Elephas maximus indicus: one gene and its partner. The protein of the gene in region 1 interacts with the protein of each later gene in a pairwise test. Links are inferred from orthologs where the notes say so. Each region holds a gene or a part of one and is shown in the gene's direction. Other genes may lie near its edges.

Region 1 (7,574 bases):
TTCTTCCTTCCACCTTTGTCATTTAAACAGGTGAAACAATGAACAGTTCTCTTATCTGATATCCTAACAATTCTCTACCTTTCCTGAGGAAAATGAGTCAAAAAAAAAGATATCAACCACTCTACAGTTTCCATACTGAGTCGATTCCATAGGGTTTTCAAGGCTGTGACCTTTCGGAAGCGGATCGCTAGGCCTTGTCTTCCGATGCATCTCTGAGGTGGGTTCCAACCACCAATCTTTTGGCTAGTAGTCAAGCGCTTAACTACTTGCATTACACAGGGACTCCTACTCTATGCTTAGAGGAAAACTATCTACCATTTCTTTGATCTACCTTTGATATGGTAAAAGGTAAGGAAATTAGGCCAGAAATTATAATGGCTGGTTCTTCCTGACCACAGTTTCACAAAAAAGTTTTTTTCTATTGTTACTGTCTTAGGGTTAGGTGATTCAATTTCAAAATGGCTATCCTGGTACATTAAACTAATTTTTCATATACAAATAATGGTACTCACCTCACAGGTTTTGGGTGTCCTCTCACAAAAAACTTCTATTTTAATATCACCTACATCTGTATGCAATGTCACAGACTAAAAGGGAGAGAGAATTTGAGAACAAGTAAGATTTCTTCACGTGACTTTATGCACTGTATTGTTTCCCTTACTGGACATCCAGTATGACAGTCTGAGTAAAAGGAGACGGAAAGAAATACTGCATCAGAGATGACGTTCACATAACAGCTCTAGAGATGAGTTATACTTCTTCCCTAAAATTTATTCTAACAGCAGGAAAAAATACCATAAGATAGATATAAATGATAAGATAGATGTAAATGTTAAAGTAAAAAGGTATTTATGCTAAAAATTGGAAACAAATATTGAGATAGAAATTAGTTTACATTTGAATTTTTTATCAGTAAAAACAAGTGTTATGTTACTATTATTGATTTAAATGGTAAATCACCAAAACATAGTTTCCACCATATCCCTTATGTAATTTTATCCTGAGAAACAGGGTTAAAAATCAGTTTTTCTTTCTTTTAATTAATTTTTTATTGTGCTTTAAGTCAAAGTTTACAAATCAGGTCTCTCATACAAAAATTTATATACACCTTGCCATACACTCCTAATTGCTCTCCCTCCAATGAGACAGCACAGTTCTTCCCTCCACTCTCTCCTCGTGTCCATTCTGGTAGCTTCTGGCCCCCTCTGCCCTCTCATCTCCCCTCCAGACAGGAGATGCCAACATAGTCTCATGTGTCTATTTGATCCAAAAAGCTCGTTCTTCACCAGTATCATCTTCCATCCCCTATTCCAGTCCAATCCCTGTCTTAAGAGTTGGCTCTGGGAATGGTTCCTGTCCTGGGCCAACAGAAGGTCTGGGGACCATGGCCTCCGGGGTCCCTCCAGTCCCAGGCTGACCATTGAGTCTGGTCTTTTTACAAGAATTTGGGGTCTGCATCCCACTGCTCTCCTGCTCCCTCAGGGTTTCTCTATTGAGTTCCCTGTCAGGGCAGTCACCGGTTGTGGCTGGGCACCATCTAGTTCTTCTGGTCTCAGGCTGATGTAGTCTCTGGTTTATGTGGTCCTTTCTGTTCCTTAGGCTCATAATTACCTTTTGTCTTTGGTGTTCTTCATTCTTCCTTGCTCTAGGTGGGTTGAGACCAACTGATGCCTCCTAGATGGCCGCTTGCCAGCGTTTAAGACCCCAGGCACCACTCTCCAAAGTGGGATGCAGAATGTTTTCTTAATAGGTTTTATTATGCCGATTGACTTAGATGTTCCCTAAAACCACGGTCCTCAAACCCCCGCCCCGGCCACGCCAGCTCTCAAAGAATTCAGTTTATTCAGGAAACGCCTTTGCTTTTGGTTTAGTCCAGTTGTGTTGACCTCTCCTGTATTATGTATTATCTTTTCCTTCACCCATAATAAAACGTATATGTATTTTTTTTTTTTTATTATCTATCAATTTCTTTCTTGACTAAAGAAACAAGTATAAAAAGCATCAAAGAATTATCTTAGGTGAGGGGAAGGACAACACACAATACAAGGGAAGTCAGCACCAGTAGACGAAACCAAAAGCTAAGAAGTTTCCTGAACACAACGAAACACTTCGAGGGACAGAGTAGCAGGGACAGGGGTCTGGGGACCATGGTTTCAGGGGACACCTAGGTCAACTGGCATGACAAAGTTTAGTAAGAAAATGTTCTGCCTCCCACTTTGGTAAGTGGTGTCTTAAAAGCTAGCAAGTGGCCATCTAAGATGCATCAATTGGTCCCAACTCACCTGGAGCAAAGGAGAATGAAGAGCACTAAAGACACAGGAAAATGTTACCCCAAGAGACAAAAGGGTCCATCAATCTGAGACCAGAAGAACTAGATGGTGCCCAGCTACCACCAGTGACCACCCTGAGAGGGAACACAACAAAGAGTCCCTTACAGAGCAGTAGAAAAGTGTGATGCAGAACTCAAATTCTAATAAAAAGACCAGATTTAATGGTCTGAGACTAGAGGAACCCCAGAACACATGGCCCGCAGACTCTCTGTTAACCCAGAACTAAAACCATTGCTGGAGCCAACTCTTCAGACAAAGATTAGATTGGATTACAAAACGTAACACTCATGAAGAGTGTGCTTCCTAGTTCAAGCAGATACACGAGACTAAATGGGCACCTCCTGGCAGGCGGCAGGTTGAGAAGGCATAAGGGGATAGGAGCTGGTTGAATGGACACAGGAAACACAGGGTGGAAAGGGAGAGTGTGCTTTCACATTATAGGAATCGCAACTCATTCCAGAGAGGGGAGAAAACTATTTTGAGGCTTTCTTTTTTCTTCTCCTTACAATAATATCTAGCAGTCAGGAGGTATGGCCAGGTAGAAGGTAGAGGATAGGTGGGGGTGGGGCAGGGCACTATTCTCATTGCTTATCTTCTACTTCAAGTTAGAACCCACTGCCTTCAAGTCCATTCTGTTTAGCAGTGAAGCACTTTGACCACTGTGCTACCAGGGCTTATCATACATGGTTATACTGTTCTGCTCCTCCAACTCCCCCTTTCCATCTCTAATAATCTTTTTTCCATAAAAGGTAAATTCTGTGCATTTTAAGTGAAAACATTAAAGAATTAAAAAATAATTTTGCTGTTTTGTTTTTGTTTGGCATCATTCTACACTGTATGCCTCTACATCCTACTTTTTCTCCAACTTGGTGCTGAAATTTTCATGCAGTTTTATTTCCCTTGACTGGATTTCTAGAACTTACACGCATTCAAAAATATTCTACAAAACTTACCATTCTTCTTAATGGTTTCAGGAAGCACTGTTACTTAATGTATCACAGTGCTTCTGAGAAAGTGAGTCTGTTTGTAAAAAACAAGAGCAAAAAAGAATTGTTTTTTTCCTCTTAATTCACGCTTGCTTATTGTATATTAATAAGAAAAAGCCTCAAAGAGCATTCCCCACGTAATACAAATCTGGTTATAGACGTAGTGAGGAGGTCCTGAATATACTTCCTCTCCCTCACTCTTCTTCCAGAGCCTCCTTGTAAGTCTTCCAACAAGTCAGGCACACTCCCCCTCCTGAGGGTGTCAGCACTGGATGTTCCCTTTCCCTGGATCCCTCACACTTAGACATTAGTACTGCTGATTCCCTCACCGCCAAGTCTGCTCAATGTCAGGTCTCATTGACCTGTAAATCCTATTTAAAATTGTTTTAACCCTCCTACCTGCCCTATTTCCTTTTCCCATCACACTTATCACTAACATACTATACACTTTCCTTATTTAAAGTGTCTCTTTCCAACACCACCTCAACCCCAAATGTTCACTCAGAAGTATCCCAAGAACTAAAACACCCGTTGTCGAATCGATTCCGGCTCACAGTGACCTATAGGACAGAATAGAACTGCCCTGTAAGGTCTACCAAGGAGCGCCTGGTGGATTCGAACTGCCGACCCTTCCGGTTAGCAGCCGAGCTCTTAACCACGGTGCCACCAGGGATCCAAGAACAAGAACTAAGATAGTGTCTATCATATAGTTAGCGCTCACCAAGCACTTGAATAAGCGAATGAAAGGATTAAAACCGTCCATTCTTAATTCGGAGCTCTGGTGGAACTGTGGTTAACAGGTTGCTAAACAAAAGGTCTGCAGTTCGGATCCACCAGCCCCTCCTTGGAAACCCTGTGGGGCAGTTCCAATCTGTCCTATAAGGTCGCTATGAGTCGGAACCGACGCGACGGCAACGGGTTTTTTATACTTCACCATTTCAGTTAAGCAAAGCCGTTGCATAAAACAGAAGATGGAGCCGGTGATGTTCGCACGACTCCGGTCGCCGGAAGTTATAGTTTTTTGGCCACCGGAAGTTGGACGCGGGGCCCCTAACAGAGGACGCTCTTTCTTACAAGTTCCTTCGGTCCTCCGTTCTTACCTGGCTCAAACCAAATCGACTAGAAAAAGGGAACCATGGGACACGCTTGACAGTGAAAGGAAAAAAAAAAAAGAAGCTCTTAATAATTACACTAAAACAAGAAGCGTAACTCGGAGCTATCCTGGGCCACCTGTATAAGTGCCTTGGTCTCAGCTGTAAAACTTGACGGACCACTTCCGTTCAACTCCTGTCCTCGGCCCAGTCTTACAACACGGGGAGCTACTGCGCAGAGCCGGAAATGGCGTTTGAGAGGCATTTCCAGGACGGGTGAGTAATGTACTATCTAGAAACCTGCGTGGATTTTCGATATCTTAGAGGTAGAGCCTAGTTAGGAGTTGATTCCGACTCATAGTGACCCTATAGGACAGAGCGGAGCCGCCCTATACGGTTTCCGAAGCTGTAATCTTTAGGGAGCAGATTGCCTCGTCTTTATCCCGCAGAGCCGCTGGTGGGTTCTAATAGCCCACTTTTCGGTTAGCAGCTGAGCTCAGAACCATTGCGGCCACCGGGGCTCCAAGTTAGGGTAGACTTCGGTTGTTGTTGGAGTGTAGGGAAAGGAGCGGAAGAGGAGGCCTTGCAGAGAACTGGCCTGTCGCAGGGGTGCATGGGACGGGGGTCCTGACTCCTGGGGTTACTGGCTGTGCCACCTGGCGCTCTTCAGTGCCCAGGAAAAGGTGCTGCGGTGGAACTGACATGAAGGGTAGATGAGAACCTAAGAGGGAATAGTTTGCAGGTTGGGAAAAAAAAAAACCTTAATGTTAGTAAACAGTAGCAGTCACAGTGTTTACTCTGGGCCGGTCATTGTTCACGGCACAATACCTTTTGAATTTTCGTGACAATCATATCAGCTGGGCACTATTATTTACATTTCTTTTTTTCAGACGGGAAAACTGTAAAGGTAATTTGCCCGTGGTTGACATCTGTGCCTTTGGGGTTCAGTCTGGCTTCAGAGTCAGTGCTCTTAACCACCATGCTGTGCTGCCTCTCATTGTCGTTAACTGCGGCTTGAAGCCAAGTAGCCTCGCAGTATCCTAATCTATGCAATGGGAATGTTCTACCATGTTTCCACGGTCTCTTTCAAATATAACAGTAAATAACTCAAAATCAGCGTGGTGGCCTACTGGGACTTCACTTTACCTCTTGCTAGACTTAGAAGAATCTAGCGAGTGGATGTGGTAACAGAATCATTAGATCTTCCAAGTCCCCAGGCTCGCGTTGTTTTTCCAGGCCTTGCACATAAGTATCCATATCCTAATGAAATACTTTCTGCTGTAAAAATGTTGGAAAAAAGTTTTTTTCTTGAAATCATTGGGTTCTGAATGTTTCATTACATTTACAATTGGCTGTGCTTTCTTGTTAAGGAGCCCTGGCGGAGCAGTGGTTAAGTGCTTGGCTGCAGCCTAAAGATGGGTGATTCAGACCCACCAGCTGGGTCTGCAAGAGGAAGATGTGGCAGCCTACTTCCCTAAAGATTGTTGTAGTTAGGTGCCATTGAGTCATTCTGGCTCATAGTGACCCTATAGGACAGAGTAGAACTGCCCCATAGGGTTACCTGTAGGGCAGAGTAGACCTGGGTTTCCAAGGAGCAGCTGGTGGATTTGAACTGCCAGCCTTTTAGTTAGCAGCCATAGTAGCAGAGATCTTAACCACTGTACCACCAGGGCGTCTCCCTAGAGATTACAGCCTTGGAAACCTTATGGGGCAGTTCTACCATTTTCCTATAAAGTTGGTATAAGTCAGAATTCACTAGAGGGCAGTGTGTTTTTTAATATCAATCGTGCATACCAGAAGATGTTTTTCTTCCAAAACCAAAAATTTTTATAGATATTAAATTTAAGAACAGAGTTGACAGTGTTATTTTTGTGGTTATTTGGTTAATCATTTACTGATTTTAATTTGTCACCTTTCATATTTTAGAGCCAGCAAATTTTTCCCAGCTCCACAATTTCCTTTTTTAGTCCTCTACCTTTCCTTTTTTTGCCAACCTTTCCAATTTTTGTTGGCTGTAGATGTCTAGAAGGCTTACAGGCTGTGTAGGCAACGTACCTACACCGTTAGCTCTCCCACCTCTTGAGTGTGGCTTTTGTGCTGTAGGTGTTAATGGTTCAGGAGCAGAAGCTCCTGCCTTTTCCTGGCCATGACCCTGCCCATTCAGAAGAGTGACCCACTAATGCATCCCATGATACTGGCTGCTGATAAAGCAATTGATTTTTTAAAAAATATTATTATTATTTTGGTAAAGCACTTTTGCCAGTATGTACCACCCTAACTCCAAATTGGAAACCCTGGTGGCGTAGCAGTTAAGAGTTACAGCTGCTAAACAAAAGGTCGGCAGTTGGAATCCACCAGGCTTTCCTTGGAAATCCTATGGGACAGTTCTCCTCTGCCCTGTAGGGTCACTATGAGTCAGAATCGACTCGATGGCAACTGGTTTGGTTTTGGTTTTGGTTTAACTCCAAATTAAGGAGCCTGGCGGTACAGTAGTTAAGCACGCTTGGCTGCTAACTGAAAGATTTCAGTTCAGACCTACCAGCCGCTATGATGGAGAATGATGTGGCAGTCTACTTCTGTAAAGATTTCAGCTTTGGAAACACTACGGGGCAGTTTTACTTTGTCCTATAGCGTCGCTATGAGTCGGAATTGACTCCATGACAGTAGGTTTGTTTTTTTGGTTTTAACTCCAAATTCTGCAAGGAAGGAGGAGACTGCCATTCTGTGAGTAAACATTAGTGCCTACCTATGCTGGTGATACTGGGATTTAGAAAACATAGTTCTTTAATTTTTTTTTTTTTTTGCTTTCAGTGAAAGTTTACCATTCAGCTTCTCCCACAAAAACTTATACACTCATCGTCATATGATCCTAGTTGCTCTTTCTACAATGTAACAGCACATTCCTTCTCTTGTCCTTGTATTTCCCGTGTCCATTCAACCAGCTCCTGTCCACCTCTGCCTTCTCATCTCACCTCTGGACAGGAGCTGCCCACATGGTCTCATGTGTCTACTTGAGCTAAGAAGCACACTCCTCACCATTATCATTTTATGTCTTACAGTGCAGTCTAATCTTTGTCTGAAGAGTTGGCTTCGGGAATGGTTTTAGTTTTGGGCTAACAGAGAGTCTGGGGGCCATGACCTCTCAGGTCCCTACAGTCTCGTCAGAC
Region 2 (7,405 bases), on another chromosome or scaffold:
TTTAAATATGCACATCAGAGCTGCCAAAGGGAGAGAGGCATAGAGCAAGGTCTGGGAGGGTCCCAAATGTGAACTTTCTGTGGTCTTCTCCCCATGGAATCAGGACTCATTACCTCCTGGCACATAGATGTGTGACAATATGCAGAGTATTCCCAACCAAACAAGCTCGGTGTCCAGAGTTTTTATTGGGGTTTCATTATGTGTTGCTGTTATTGTTTTTGTTAGGTGCCATCGAGTTGGTTCTGACTCATAGTGACCCTGTGTACAGCAAAATGACACACTGCCTGGTCCTGGGCCCTCCTCACAATTGTTGTTATGCTCGGGCCCATTGTTGCAGCCACTGTGTCACTCCAGCTTGTTGAGGGTCTTCCTTTTTTCCACTGACCCTCTACTTTACTAAGCATGATGTCCTTCTCTAGGGACTGATCCCTCCTGATAACATGTCCAAAGTATATGAGACAAAGTCTCATCATCCTTGCTCCTAAGAAGCATTCTGGTTGTACTTCTTCCAAGAAGATTTGTTCGTTCTTTTAGGCAGTTCATAATATAGTCAATATTCTTCTCCAACACCACAATTTAAAGGTGTCAGTTCTTTGGTCTTCCTTATTTATCACCCAGCTTTCACATGGATATGAGACGATTGAAAACACCATGGCTTGAGTCAGGCCCACCTTAATCTTCACAGTGACATCTTTGCTTTTCAACACTAGAAAATATTATCGAAGGCTTAAGGAAAACTAAATTTTAAAACGTGTTATTACTTAAATTAATTGAACATTAATTTTAAAAAGCTTTCTAGCATACACACATATTTTCCATTATTTACCACAATGTTTCAGTAAAATCTGATGTGCCTTTCTGCTTCGAGTGATACTACAGAGAATGAAGGGATAGGGCAAAGAAGAGGACCATGGGTGAGACTCACATCAGTCTCTCCACTGATGTCTGTGGAAAAGGGGCTGCATATCCTATGGAGGGGACTATGTGTAGGATGCCAGGTGGCAGCGAATGTGAAGAGGCACTGTGGAGTGGGGCACCCAGTGGTAAGAAGCTACTTCCCAGTGGGCATCTCAGGAAAGACATAAATTTTCCACTTTTCTAAAACCATGGTAGAAGTTAGTTTTTGATGAGGGGGCTATATATATATATATATGTAGTATACACATACCATTTGTATATATAACTGAATCAGAAAACAGACTGCTGTTACTCACAGAGCATCTTAGCACCAGTTCCCCATGTCCCAGTTCTGCAGAGGGTGATGAATGAGGGCCAAATATTCACCTGTGTATACAGCAGAGTTTGACCACAGGGCAGAAACCCCAAAATTTTGATGAGACTTGGAGTTTATATAGAACGGCTGGTATATCTGCCCCTTCTCACCCTGGAGAAAGAGAGAGAGAAACACAGAGACCTTTACTATCTAGTGTAAGCAAATCCCATCTAGGGAGTGGAGCAAAAAGTTCCTAGGTTTTTACAACCCTAGAATATAAGCAAATGACTCCAGGGAAGAGGGGAAAGGCATCTCTAAGTTTTATTACCTTTAGGATGTGAGCAAATGGCTCCGAGAAATTCACATCTCTAATTTCCAAGGCATGTTTGCCATTTAGTCGTAAAGACCATAAACCAAAAAACCAAACCCTTTGCCACTGAGTTGATTATAACTCATAGCAACCCTATAGGACAGAGTAGGACTGCCCCAATAGGGCTGCCAAGGAGCAGCTGGTAGATCCGAACTGCCAACCTTTTTAAGCAGCCATAACTCTTAACCACTGTACCACCAGGGATTCACGCAGAAAAATGAAAATATTCATGGGGATTGTCAACAGGGGAGAAGCAGAATTTAGGGTTATACTATTACAGTAGCAGTGGCTATAATTGCCTATATACTTATCTGTAGTCCTCACAGGGTTTGTATCTTGCTTGTTGTTGAATCCCTAGCACCCAACACCTAGCATAGTAGGTGGTTTTTTTTTAAGGAATTTTATATGTTTAAGGGAAGATGTACCCACTGGAATTCTTTATGTGATGACCCTGCATTCTTTAGTTTTCTACTAAAGCCATTTTCAAATTTGAGCTGTTGAGCCTCCGAGAATATATATCTGCAGGCATCAGTATGAGAAATCTGTTAGTCACTGAAATCATTTGCTTCTATTTGTTATAAGGTGGTTGTCCACAGAGGGGCAGTAAAGCGCAGTGGTTAAAAATTCAGATCCTGACTGTAACCCCACTGCCTATTTTTGTTATTTTTATATTTTAGAATATCATAATATGGCATAAAAATTTTAAATTTTGTAGGGAACTTGTGGACTCCCTGAAGAATTTGAAAAACTGGACGAACTATCTTATCCAGTTATAAATTGACACAAAAGCTCTGGCTTGCCATGCTCTGTATTTAGGAAAGTGGCATTTTGTCTTGCAGAATTTTTTTTTTAAGGTACTTACTAGTTTTTCACGGCTTCTGAGTTTTATGTCATACTCAAAGAGGCTTTTCCTATTCAAAGATAATTAAAAAAAAATTCTACCACATTTTCTTCTAGTACTTTTATTATTTTATTGTTCAGATTTAATTTATCTGCAGTTTATTTTGGTGTAAGGTGTGAAGTATGATTCCAATTTTATTTTTCTTCCAGATGGCTACCTAGTTGTTCCAACACCATTCACTGAATTCATCACTTCCCCACTCATTCAAAATGCCACCTTCATCATATTCAGAATTTTCTATGATTTGAAAGACTCATCTTTTTTGTTGTTGTTCCGTTGAGTGGAAAGGTCTTCATGTATAATTTTTAACTACTTCAGATTTTTTTTTAATATTTTTAAAGTTGTATGTAATCAACTATGATATCCAAACAAAATTTTTATCCTCACTTTATGAATTTGTCATTACCAAGCTCATTTCAGCTTCTTTCTTTAAGTGTACTGCACACAACCTTCAAATATTATGAACATTTCTCTCTCCCAGCTGTCACTACACCAAACTACATATGTTATATTTCCCTAAATCATCTTGCTGTGCTCTTTGCAGCTCTTCTGTACACTGTTGATGTCTTCATCTAACAAACTGCTCAGAAGTTACCTTAGTTATTTTAATGAGGCCTCAGAGAGAAAGCCTATCATCACTACCTAGTTCATCCCCAAAATGGCCATTAATTTCCATTAACAATGGACAGCCTATGTTTCTGGAAAACAACAGATTTCGAAGAGCTATGGCAGTTATTTATTGGCTCTTTAAACAATCCACCTGGGGAAAAGTGTCCGACAAAATGCCAACTGCTATTGTGGGATATTTTTTTTTTTTTTTGCTATTTATTCCAGCAAAATGTTTCAGACAATGAAGAAAAAGGGTTGCCCTGTACTAGGTCTTGAACCCAAAGAACTGTTTGCATAGATAGTCATCCAAGATCCATCACAGCCTCCACCTCAACAGATGCTCTTTCAAATGTTTCATAATTCTCTTCAACAACAGTCAGTCTCCATTTAAGGATAGGAGGACAATGCTGCCAGAGATGGCTCTGCTGGCATGAAGGCAGGCTTACAATTTCTATTTAAAAGCTGGACCAAGATATGTTTGGCATCTGTTGTCTATTTAAACTGCAAGTTAAGATGAAGAAAAATTACTCTCCATCCTGAATGGGCCCTTGGTGTCTCAATCACAGACAAGAGAGTGGTAAATGGTAACAGAGTCAAAGAGAATGAAATGAGCTTAGGAACACTGAGGTTTGAGGGACAGACTGTGAAGCCGGTCTGAAACACTTGGAATGAAAAGAAAAGCCTTGGGCAGGGGAAAAGAGACCCCTCACCATTCCACTTCCTAACTCGAAGGTTCTGATTAAGACAGGCATTGGGTATATCCCCGCCCTCTCTTCTACTCAACACCCTTCCCTCACCTCAAGGTCTTCCACCTCAGTGATGCCCTTCCCCAAATCAGCCGCTTCCCAGCGGCCTCTCTTCAGCTCAGACCAACCCCCACTTCAGGACGTTCTTGCTCACAGCAGCCTGCCCTCACCCCAGCGCGCCCACCTCAGCACCCCCTAATCTCGGCACGTCTCCTCAGTGCCTCCACCTCAGAGTGCGCGCCCTTACTTCAGCATCTCCCTCAGCTCAAGGAGCGCCCCAGCCTCTCCTCCCACCAAGGGCCCCCTCCTCAGTACATTTCCTCCACCTCATCGCCCCTGCCCCATCCCAGCGAGCCTCCCCCACTGCAGGGAGTCTCCCCTCAGGAGGCTCCTCTGGCAGCAACTCCCAGCCCCGCCCCCTGGGTCAAGCCCCGCCCCTCGCCCTCCGACCCGCCCACCGTGTCCCGCCCGCTCCCGCCCCTCAGCCCTCGCCCCGCCCACGTTGAGCGCGCGCCCGGGGCCTTTGTCTTTCGGCGCCAAACTCTCAGGTCAGCGACGCGCGGGGTCGCCCTTCTCTGCGTTCTGGGTCGGATCCCAAATCTCAAGAGCTGAGAACCGGAAACCCAGGGTGGGGGCGAAGGGAAATCACCTTGAAAACCTCGGGGAGAGCGTTGGTACGAGGGAGGTGTGTGGCAAACGGGAAACCGAGTGAAGAAACTGAGGGGAAACTCGAGGCTTTAAGAAAATACAGTCCGCTTTTTCGCCCCTTTCCTGGGGTCGTGGCTGGGGCCTGGGCTTGTGACTTTGTGCGCTCCGCCACCAGCCCCGGGGAGGAATCTCGGTGGTCTTAGAGGATCTCCGACAGCCTTATAAAACTGGACCGAAGTCTTAAAGAAGCCTCCTCGGCCCTTCCCTCGTATGAGGGAGTCGGATGTCAAGAAAATGTCCACAGGGGGGCTCTGGCTGCCAGGTCCCAGGTCGCCTGTCACCTGGTGACATCAAAGATGACATGGACCATGCTCCCCCAAGATACGCAGCCCTGTCTCCCTTAAACCGAGGTGGCAGGTCACGCGTAAAACCGTAGAAACCAAGATGTCTGGGAGCCCAGTAGAGGGAACTGTTCAGTCTGTCAGTTGCTACTTGAAAGAGATAGTGAACAATGTTTTCGTTTTATCAAGAAGAAATGGATATATATTATATATATATATTTTTTTCTCCCTTCGATTCAATGAGGATAGTCAATGTGGAATTTTGGGTAACCATTTTTTTTATATATATATGTAGCTATCTGGTGACACTGTGGTTAAGATTTCAGCTGCTAACCTAAAGCCAGCAGTTGGAATCCACCAGCTTCTACTTGGAAACCCAATGGGGCAGTTCTCCTCTGCCCTATAGGGTCGCTAGGAGTTGGAATCCACTCCAGGGCAACAAGTTTGGGTTTTTTTACGGCTTTATCTGAGGGACAGTATTCTAGAAGATTCCGTGTAAACTATACCACATTTGCCTCTTATACCTTTCTGTTTAAAAGTACTGGGTGGTAGGACCATACCTCTACAATAGTTTATTTCCCTTCTGCTGAGTTCCAACCCCTGACTTTGGTATTAAGTGAGGAGATGGAATAAACCAAGAAAACTTGATTATTAAGCCCACATTTTATTGTGAGGAACCTAGTCATGTAGATTCCAGACAGTTAAAACAACTGCTACAGTGTTAAATCAAAGACTCTTTAACAACTTATTGGCCCTAATGTTATAATACTACAGGTATCCACCTTATTTTTAATCTCAAAAAAATCACGAAACTGGTAAATTATAAAACAACATATATCTAGTGTCGTATGAAACAAAAAGATACATGTTACAAGAGAAGAACGAATTCATAATCAGCAAACAGGAATGCATTCATCATAAAAAAAAAATATGAGAAAAATAAAATCTGTTCATTCAGGGTAGGCCATGTTCTAGGTGCCAGGGAGCATACAAGGAAAAATGGCATAAGGTCAAGGTTATTACAGTGTTGTTAAACATAAACATGAAAGGTTAAATAGCAATATGCAATTTTAAATATCATTCTAAGACAACAATAAAGATATCAGACAGTCCGATTAACTGTGCTATGAGAAATGAAAAAGATGACAAAAAGTGAGCAGTGTTAATGGAGAGAAGAAACAAAATAAGACCAGCCCACCGCCCCCCCCGCCACAGACATACACAAAAGTAATGCCACTTGCCCAACAGAGAGAAGATGGCCCTGCCCATTCATTCCAAACTAAATGTTTCTCTTCTTTTGCTTCTAGTGACTTTGAAATGAAATCAAGGAGGCCTCTGGGCAAAAGATGTTTTACTATACCACCTCTGAAATAATTTCTTATTTTCCTAGAATTGTTCTGCTGCTCGGCTTTCAATATGAAGGAGGATCAGGTTGTGACGGAAGAACCAGGATTCCAAGATGATGAAGTATGTTAGGATGCTGGACGATAAGTAGACATTTAAGCATTCCACAAAAATTAAGTTCTGTCTCTTTTAGCTACTATTTTTAGAAACTAAAAGTAAAAATAAAACATAGCTCTAGAAAGAGGTTGCATTATAGATACATAACAGTACTATGTCGAGGGGTGCTAAGATTAGCTGTTTAGCAACTGGCATGAAGGTTATTTTAATAACTGAACAACTGGTATGGCTATACTAGTACCTATGCATTGTCGTTATTAGTTATCGTCATGTCTATTCCGACTCATGATGACCTCATGTGTGCAGAGTAGAGCTGTTTCATGGGGTTTTCAAGGCCGTGACCTTTCAGAAGCAGATCACCAGGCCTGTCTTCCAAGGCACCTCTGGGTGGGTTTGAACCACCAACCATCTGCCTGATAGTCGAGTACTTAACTGTGCCACCCAGGGATTGGTACCAAATAGCAGCCTGGTCTTAGAAGGAGTTCAGGGTCTGGTGGGGAAGAAAGTTGAAAAAACATGTTTAAAATAGGTTAAATGCTGTTCCACTGCTTTGGATAAAAAAAAGCAGTGGAACAGCATTGGATAAAGGCCTTAAAAATTTGGTAAAGACCATGACAAAGGTATAAGTTTCCCAGCCCTTTCAACGTTGGAAGTTCTTCTAAGTATGTAACAATGTGTGAGAAAAAACATTATTGATCCTACTTCAAACCATCTAGAGAAGTGAAATTTGAGGCATTTTGGAGTGACTTATTTTATTGAATTAACTCTTTAAAAGACATGAAACAATTGGATATGAAAAATCAAAACTCATTTTTTTGTTTTATCACCTTTAGGAATCTTTGTTTCAAGATATTGACCTGTTACAAAAACATGGAATTGTAAGTATTTTTTGATTTTGTGTTTAGTTGTTCAACTCAGGGTTTCGCAGCACAGGCCTATTGACATTTTGGGCTGGATAATTCTCTGTTGTAGGGGGCTGGCCTGTGCATTGTATGGTGTTTAGCAGCATTCCTGGCCTCTACCCACTCACTATGTGCTAGTAGTGAGTAGTGCCCTCCAGTTATGAAAACCAAAAATGTCTCCAGACATTGTCAAGTATCCCCAGGGGGCAAAATG

Evidence for each region.
Region 2: the proteins of NIF3L1 (region 1) and DMC1 interact in binary tests that used the Homo sapiens proteins (3 or more experiments, as listed by UniProt). The two-hybrid records come from large-scale screens. The link is inferred for Elephas maximus indicus from reciprocal best matches to the Homo sapiens genes NIF3L1 and DMC1.

What each region holds. Positions count from the first base shown.
Region 1 is NC_064824.1:99,577,228-99,584,801, forward strand, and holds the start of NIF3L1 (NIF3-like protein 1), read left to right. Parts: upstream 1-4,480; 5' UTR 4,481-4,654; coding exon 4,655-4,683; intron 4,684-6,378; exon of another isoform or gene 6,379-7,131; intron 7,132-7,574. Other genes in the region: PPIL3 (peptidyl-prolyl cis-trans isomerase-like 3), read right to left, coding at 513-587, 4,038-4,079. UniProt on the Homo sapiens protein: May function as a transcriptional corepressor through its interaction with COPS2, negatively regulating the expression of genes involved in neuronal differentiation.
Region 2 is NC_064822.1:182,465,699-182,473,103, reverse strand, and holds the start of DMC1 (meiotic recombination protein DMC1/LIM15 homolog), read left to right. Parts: upstream 1-4,345; 5' UTR 4,346-4,387; intron 4,388-6,218; 5' UTR 6,219-6,244; coding exon 6,245-6,295; intron 6,296-7,122; coding exon 7,123-7,167; intron 7,168-7,405. UniProt on the Homo sapiens protein: Participates in meiotic recombination, specifically in homologous strand assimilation, which is required for the resolution of meiotic double-strand breaks.